Struthio camelus: one gene and its partner. The protein of the gene in region 1 binds, or shares a complex with, the protein of each later gene. Links are inferred from orthologs where the notes say so. Each region holds a gene or a part of one and is shown on either strand. Other genes may lie near its edges. The genes, in order: THOC1 and THOC7.

The links.
Region 2: the proteins of THOC1 (region 1) and THOC7 are in contact, whole or in part, in a cryo-EM structure (PDB 7APK), measured with the Homo sapiens proteins. The link is inferred for Struthio camelus from reciprocal best matches to the Homo sapiens genes THOC1 and THOC7. Residues at the interface, in NP_005122.2 of Homo sapiens: Leu10, Arg14, Glu46, Gln53, Arg56, Glu60, Ile63, Ile64, Asp99, Asp102, Cys103, Leu104, Pro105, Arg146, Gln151; in NP_079351.2 of Homo sapiens: Tyr47, Gln51, Leu54, Ser55, Ser58, Gln59, Phe62, Gly65, Lys66, Leu69, Val70, Met73, Arg76, Glu77, Asn80, Ile84, Ile88.

The regions. Positions count from the first base shown.
Region 1 is NC_090943.1:120,106,084-120,109,991, forward strand, and holds the start of THOC1 (THO complex subunit 1), read left to right. Parts: upstream 1-1,390; 5' UTR 1,391-1,590; coding exon 1,591-1,683; intron 1,684-3,908. UniProt on the Homo sapiens protein: Component of the THO subcomplex of the TREX complex which is thought to couple mRNA transcription, processing and nuclear export, and which specifically associates with spliced mRNA and not with unspliced pre-mRNA.
Region 2 is NC_090955.1:12,527,620-12,531,527, reverse strand, and holds the start of THOC7 (THO complex subunit 7 homolog), read left to right. Parts: upstream 1-1,686; 5' UTR 1,687-1,856; coding exon 1,857-1,875; intron 1,876-2,519; coding exon 2,520-2,637; intron 2,638-3,402; coding exon 3,403-3,530; intron 3,531-3,859; coding exon 3,860-3,908. UniProt on the Homo sapiens protein: Component of the THO subcomplex of the TREX complex which is thought to couple mRNA transcription, processing and nuclear export, and which specifically associates with spliced mRNA and not with unspliced pre-mRNA.

The DNA of each region.
Region 1 (3,908 bases):
TTCTGTCAGGAAGGGGAGTCAGATGCTTCTGCTTTGCCAGCAGAAGAGAATGCAGGATCAAGAAGTGATGGGAGAAAACCGTATCTCCAGTTAGCTTTGAAGTGCACCTGGGCATCCTAAGAAAGGATAGATAGGAGTACATTTGGGAGGGTTTTATGGCTGCATATCACATAACAAGGTTTCCCAACTAGTAGTTGTGAGCCTGGAAATGCAAATGGGAGAGGGATCCCAAGCCTGGAAATGGATTGTGAACAGCCAAGCTTGGGAACTACCATTACTTAGGATAGCTAGAAAATGTAAAGTACTTAAAGGCATTGAGCCACACTGAAAAAGATACATGTCGAAATAAATATTTATTAATTTGTGCAGGGCTATTTCAGACATTTACCTATGAAACACTCAGTAAACTCCCATTAAAAGTGATTCTCAAAAATGTAGCTGGAGAATATTGTTCAACCTATGAGTTATCATTGAGGCAATTTTACCAATGACATAAAAAATTCTGAGTTATATTTAATGTTACTCTTCCTTCAACGATACTTTGAACGTGACGGTAGATTGTGACTCTGATGTCATTATTAGAAAAAGTAACACAACTTCATTACCTGAAAACCCCCTTCCCTGCACGTTAACCTTTTACAGTTGTTTTTATTTTGACAACATCCTACTAACGGGATGTTCAGTAACACATTCAGCCTCTGCGAAGCTTGACATGCTGCTGAAATGGGATGTGGCCCAGGAGTGCATGGTGGGAGACACACCAACTCACTGCCCTCTTGTTCACATGTCAGGCAGATTGCAAAACCCAGTAGCTTCCTTACAAGTGCTACACGGGGCTCTAAGGATCCCACCAGCACTGGAAAAGACAGAAGGAATACTCAACTAAGGTCCATTTATAGATCGAATAGGTACAGAAACAGGTATTTTCAGCTTCCTTCAGCATAAAGTGGCAGAACTTTTGGGATAACGTGACAAACTGTTACAGGCCATGTTAATTTTGCATGCTTAATGATGATCATAATGCCAATTTGTGCAATAATATTTTCCGCTTCCTTTGAGATCCTAATTACTCAAACGAAGCAACAAAGGAAGAGTTTGTGTTGGGGGGGGGAAGTTCCTAAATTGTTTTTCACCTCAGAATGAAGAACGAATAACCTAAAATTCATGTATCTTCCTCAGAAGACGTAAGGGTTATTTTCACCCAGATAGAGATCGCTCAGAAATGACTCATTCACCAGATGAAAGTGTTGACTCTGGAGTGATACAGGTTATCAGAAACGTTCTCCTTCTTTGCATAACTATTCTTTGACTGCATGCTTTTTAAAAAAGCGCCGAGTCACATAGGGGACGTAACCCACCGCCCCACCCGACAGCAAAGCCAGCCCCCCACGGCCACGCCCCCCCCCACGGCCGGCCCACGCCAGGACCCTCATGACGCTAAAGTCAGGCGTGAGGCGAGGGTGACCTGCCGGCACCGCCCACGGGCGCCCGCGGCCTCGCCACCACGGGCAGCCCCCCCACCCCTGTCACGAGTGGGCGGGAGCGGGGGCTTCGCCGTGGTTCTCGCCGGCTGGGGGGGGGAAGGGGACGATGGCGTCATCAGCGCGCGCCGGGGAGCGTCGGACGGCCGGGACGATGTCGCCGCCGCTCTTCAGCCTGCCCGAAGCTCGGCTCCGGTTCACGGTGAGCGCGGCGGCGGCGCGGGCTCGGCCGGAGCTTCTCGCCCCTTCTCCCGCCATCCGGGAGCGGGTCCGAGCCCGGCCGGGCGGTAGGGCCGGCCGCTTCGCGACGGTGTAGCCGCTCGGCCTCGGCGCGCCGCCCCTCCCCCTCTCTTTCCGCCTCGGCGCGCGCACCGCACCGCACCGCCTTTGCCGGGCTGTGTGCAGGCGGCGCGCGCCTTCTCCGCCAGTCGCCCCGCGCGCTCCCTCGGCCGGCCGTTACCCGCCTCCAACGGCCCGCTGGGGCGCGCGCCGAGCCCGCCGCGCTCCCTCGGCCGGCCGTTACCCGCCTCCAACGGCCCGCTGGGGCGCGCGCCACGCTCCCTCCTGTCTCCCAAGGGTCTGGCAGTCCCTCCAGGAGCCTCTCAGCGCTGCCCAGCGTCCCAGTGTAGAGTCATGAGCGTGGGAGGAGAAGGGAGGCTGTGCCCAGCGAGTTTTCTGGGCTCGTTTGGGTTTCCCAAGTGAACAGGGGTTGAGGAAAGGGGGAGCAGCAGTGAGACAGCGGCAGGTTAAACGGATGCTCGGGGCTCAGGTGTGCAGCTGGATGGAGGAAAGTACCACGTTGAAGGCTGAACTCACCTGCCCTCCCTTCTGCATGAATGGACCTGAATGGAGTGCAGGGGAGAGTTTGACTTGACGTGTATGCCAATTTTTTTTTTTTGCTGGCATGAAGGAAGTTGGAGGAAAGTGTACAAACTTTACTTCTTTGGTCTTTGATGCAAAGAGATAAACTTGACTAGCTGGAGAGAGAGAGAAAACTTTCACTGCATTCACAGTGTTATAAAGGCACGTAGTAATGTTATGACAACAAGAGTGCTAGTTTTATGAGGTCAAGACAAATGTAAAGGGCAGAAGAAAGGACATTAGAAATCTATATTAATGAACTTAAGTTTTGCTATGCTTTTGTATAACGTAACATACAAGTTGATACCTCACACCATTGCCTACCGCACCCGATTGCTGATTCACTAAGACTGAACAAATCAGTGGCCCAGTGCTGTGTTCTCTCTGGTGGGGGAGAGGGGATCTTGACAGATGGTTCTTCCCTTTCCTGTTCTTGAGTGAGTTTACCGTCTTAGTGCTGTTCTTTGTGAGCATTAACTCCCATTAACCTGTGTTTATGCTATCATGCTAATGCATGATAGGCCTTGTCAGGTTATGCATGATATGACAGTAAAAGTCTCCTAGTTTCAGTTCACCTTGTCCTAGTTGCATATCCAGGTTTTTTATCAATATCAGTTTCATACAGAAGAATCCTCTATCTGCAAAAAGTCTGCACAGCAGCAGCTAACAGCAGAACAAAAATTCGAATGTTTATAACAGATGCAGCTGAATGATGCTTAAGTCCAGTAGAGCATGTGTTAGGCACGGTAGGCCTGTGGCAAAACTTCAGCTGTGTTCTAAGTACTGTAGCAACCCGTTATAGCTGGGATATCTTTCTGAAGAGGAAACTGTGTTTTCATGTAATGAGTGCTAAACTCAGTGGTATAAATTTTTGGGCAGGAGTTTTCGTACCAGTTTAGCCTAACTAGGTGAGCTAAAATGAGAATAGTATCCGTGGTTTAGTTAGCTAAAATTAATTTAAAATTAAATCAAAATCTGATGTAACTCAACGTTTGCAGTAAAACATGCCACAGCTTGTCGCCCTTATCTCCTTTGCGCCTCGACTGAATGATGCTTTTTCCTTACTAGAGCAGACTGAGCTGGATGTGTACTCAAGTGGTGGTGCAATTTATTGGACTTTCAAAGTAAGGTGTTGAGATTTGTACAGAAATAGTTGAGGCACAGGCAGTTATTCCGTTATATTGATTTCATTACAGGGAATTTTTAGACCAGCTTGCTAACAGAAGTAATGTTTTTAAACCACCATGAGTTGCCTGTCTGGCAGGTGAAAGTTTGTGTATGGACCTTTCAACTGTTCTAGGTGCAGCATCAGCCATAATAGCATGCTCCTTTATATTTCACTTGGAAGTGTTATTTTCTGCATACCATTAGCCCTAATTTGAGGTATGATAATCTACTAGGTAATATGGGTAAGTTGTTAATATATTTTCTTTTGTAAATCGATGCATGGTATGTCACAAATAGATTCCTTAGTATTTCTGCTTTCTGTCAGATGAAGGAAGAAGGTGATCCATCAGAGTAACTTTGGTTGCCTAACGGTTTTGTAATTTTTTTTTTCACCTTTTG
Region 2 (3,908 bases), on another chromosome or scaffold:
AATCACATAATAATATACGGAAATTTCAAGACCAGAAGTTACCTCTCCAGATTTTCTATACTGGAAATTCTTCACTCTCTAAACTTCAGGGGGTGTAATGCTTTCTCAGTAGCACCTTGCAGAGACCCTGACAGTTGTCACTACTGAAGACAAAGTACTGGCTTCAAACAACCTAGCAGTATGTAAATACCTGTTAAATGCCACTATCCAGAACAAAAAGAACCTTGTGATGGCTCACAGCCTTAAACCAGCAAACTACAGATTATAGCGTGCACAGACTTTGTCCTTTTCCTACACTGATTTTCCAAACATCCCTAAAACTGTCAAAACAAAGCACTGACCGAGACAGGAAAATAAATGTTTGGAGCAGAACAAGTCAATAAACTACTTAGCGTCCAAGCCAAAACGAAGGGGGAGTACCACGGTGTGCAGACGTCTCACGTATCATGACTATAGTATGACATATGTTACAGTAATGTTGCCAACTTCAGCACTGCCTAGGTGTCAAAGCCTGCGGTTCAAAAAGCTAAAACTCAACACTTGATACCAATAACACCTTAGTATCTCTTTTCTCCAGACACCCCTATCCCTTTTTTCCAGTGCCAGTTTTGGTTAATTTTTCAGGGAAGGAAGAAATAACTCTTACTACTATGGGCTGTTAATAGCCTAACTCCCCAATAAGGCAATTAGGACGGTCGTTTTTGCCAGGGCCTAGCCTCTGTGGCCGCAGCGTGGGACAGCCACCGCGGCACGGGGCCAGCACTGAGCCGCAGCCCCCACATGCTGCCTCCGCTCTGCTGGAAGCACCAGGCTGCTGCCAGCTGTTGCTGTCCCCATCCCTGCTGTCCCCTTCCCCAACGCCACCCTGGAGAGGCCGAGGCCGGGCACAGCCACCGTCCCTGTCTCCAGGGCCACCCTCGAGAGGCCAAGGCTGGGCATACCCACCGTCCCCCTGCCCAGTGACGCCCTCAACGGTCCAAGGCCGGGCACGGCGGCTGTCCCCCTCCCCAGTGACGCCCTCAACGGTCCAAGGCCGGGCACGACGGCTGCCCCCCTCCCCAGTGACGCCCTCAACGGTCCAAGGCCGGGCACGACGGCTGCCCCCCTCCCCAGCGCCGCCCTCGAGGGGCCGAGGCCGGGCACGGCGGCTGCCCCCCTCCCCAGTGACGCCCTCAACGGTCCAAGGCCGGGCACGACGGCTGCCCCCGTCCCCAGCGCCGCCCTCGAGGGGCCGAGGCCGGGCACGGCGGCTGCCCCCCTCCCCAGTGACGCCCTCAACGGTCCAAGGCCGGGCACGACGGCTGCCCCCCTGCCCAGCGCCGCCCTCGAGGGGCCGAGGCCGGGCGGGAGCCGCCAGCCCGGGGGAGCGGCGGCAGCAGCAGAGCAGCAGGGCCGGGGGCCGACGGGGCGGCGAGGCCGGGCGAGGCGAGGGTGGCCGCCGCCGGGGCCGCCTCGAGGGCGAGGGCGAGCATGTGCCGCGGGCATGGCGGGCCGGGCCGGGCGGGGGGCGGCGGCGGCGGCGGGGCCGGGGGCGCGGTGGCGGGGAGGAGGAGCCTGGCTGCGAGCGCGGGGACCTCCGCTGCCCTCCCCCGTCGGCCCCTCACCTGGCGGGGCCGCCCCTCGCCAGGGGGCCGGTTCCGCGCGGGGCGCGAGCCTCGCCCGCCGGCCCTCCCCGCCGCCGCCGCCGCCGCCTCCGCCGCCGCCGCCGGGCCGCGCGTCCGCCGCCAGCCGGCTCAGGCCCCAGCCGCCGCCGCCGCCGCCTCCCCCTCCATGGCCGCCGCTCTCGCCGGCTGCATTGTGGGAAGCTGACCTCACTCGCTGCTGCCGCCGCCCCGCCGGCTCCGCCGCTCGCCGCCATGGGGGCCGTGACCGACGGTGAGACCTCCCTCCCTCCCGCCCGCCCGCTGCCCGCCGTCCCCCGGCCCGCTCCCCGCGCCGCCTCGGCCGGGGCCGGGCCCGCCGCGCCGCGCCGCTCCCCAGGCGCGGGAGCCGCTCTGCCGGCACCGGCCACCATCCCCGGGCCCGCGGCCCTCGTTCTCTCGCCGCCCCCCGGCCCTCTCGCCGCTCCCGGCCCCTCACGCCGCCCCCCGGCCCCTCACGGTGGCCTCGGGCCCTCTCGCCGCTCCCGGCCCCTCACGACGGCCTCGGGCCCTCCATCCTGGCGCCCCTCACGCCGCCCCCCGGCCCCTCACGGCGGCCCCGGCCCCTCTCGCCGCTCCCGGCCCCTCACGGCGGCCTCGGGCCCTCCATCGTGGCGCCCCTCACGCCGCCCCCCGGCCCCTCTCGCCGCTCCCGGCCCCTCACGGCGGCCTCGGGCCCTCCGCGCTCGCCCACCCGCGGCGTTGTCCCGCCATGTGCCCCCGCTCCGTCCCCCCCCCCCGCTCAAAAACACCCGCTTTGTAAATGAAAAGCGCCCGGACGGCCCTGGTTCAGCGGCAGGAGGCAGGCCCGGCCCCGGCTGCCGGGACCCCGCCGCCCTCCCGCCCGGCGGTTAAAAACGGCCCCTTTTCCCGCCCCAGACGAAGTGATCCGTAAGCGGCTCCTCATCGACGGCGATGGCGCGGGTGATGACAGGCGGATCAACCTCCTGGTGAAGAGTTTCATTAAATGGTGCAACTCCGGATCCCAGGAGGAAGGGTATTTCTGTTTTCAGTCTTGGGAAATAACAGCGTACATTTAAATGGAAATTGGAATAAACTTGGGGTTTTGGGGGGGTGTGTGGAGGGGGGAGTCGCTTCTGTTAAGATGTGCACCCGTGCGTGTCAGTGTGGCTCTGCGGTGCTCCCAGCACAAACAGCGAGCATCAGGGCAGGAGACGGCTCAGAAATGACTGAGCGCCAGTGCTGCTTCGTGATCCGGGCCCAAGAGTCCCGGTGCTGTAACAGGATCATGACTTGAATGTTTTAGCTGGCAGTTCTGCGTTTGTCCTGTTAGGTAAGGACAATAACGTTAGTCTTCTGCTGCATTTTTTTCTTTTTAAAACAGGTCAGAGTTGTAAAAGTTGACCAACAGTGTAGTATTGTATTGTGAGGTCTCTGCTACTGTTGGATATAAATTCCAGGAAGTCGCCGTATATACAGAGGAGTGCTACAGTATTAAAATACTAATCTCGGTGAGCGCAGAGCCTGCCCCAGTTGGGAAGTTTATAATCCCTGGATCAATCTGCCCATAGCTTTAATACTCACTTTGCACCTTTAAGGGCATGGTGATAGAACTAGTTGGTGCAGTGTTTCTAACTGCACTTTCAAAAATTATACATTGAGTCTTTGGAATTTTATTTGTTTAATAATTGCTGTTATTTAACTGTTGCTTAAATTACTCATGCAGGCTTTGGCTTCTTGCTTTATAAAGGTAGGTGACTGTTTTATGCTGCTTAGGAATAACTATCTTGTCTGCTTTCAGTTACAGCCAGTACCAACGAATGCTGAGTACTTTATCACAGTGTGAATTTTCAATGGGAAAAACTCTTCTCGTGTATGATATGAACCTGCGAGAAATGGAGAATTATGAAAAAATCTACAAAGATATAGGTAACAGATATTACTGTTTTCTGTTGGACTATTTCTCTAGTGTGAGGAAGCTTGAGCCAGTGCTGGTGAAACTAATATATGAATATGATGAAAGATTTATTTTTTTTAAGATAACACTGATACAAAAGCTCTAAGCATCTTGTCAGTATCTAAAATACATGCAAGTAAAGTTTTTTTTAAACCCATTGAAGTATGTGTAATTTTGAAGCTGATGGAGCTAAGAAGCCACCATGTCACAAATGGCTCTTTGCCTTTTTGTAGTGCAGCAGATTGGTTTGTTGACATGTATTGTTTGATTTCAGTATAATTCTGTATTCTTTTTATTAAAGAAAATAGTATAGCTGCAGCACACGAGAAGATTTCTGAATGCAAAAAGCA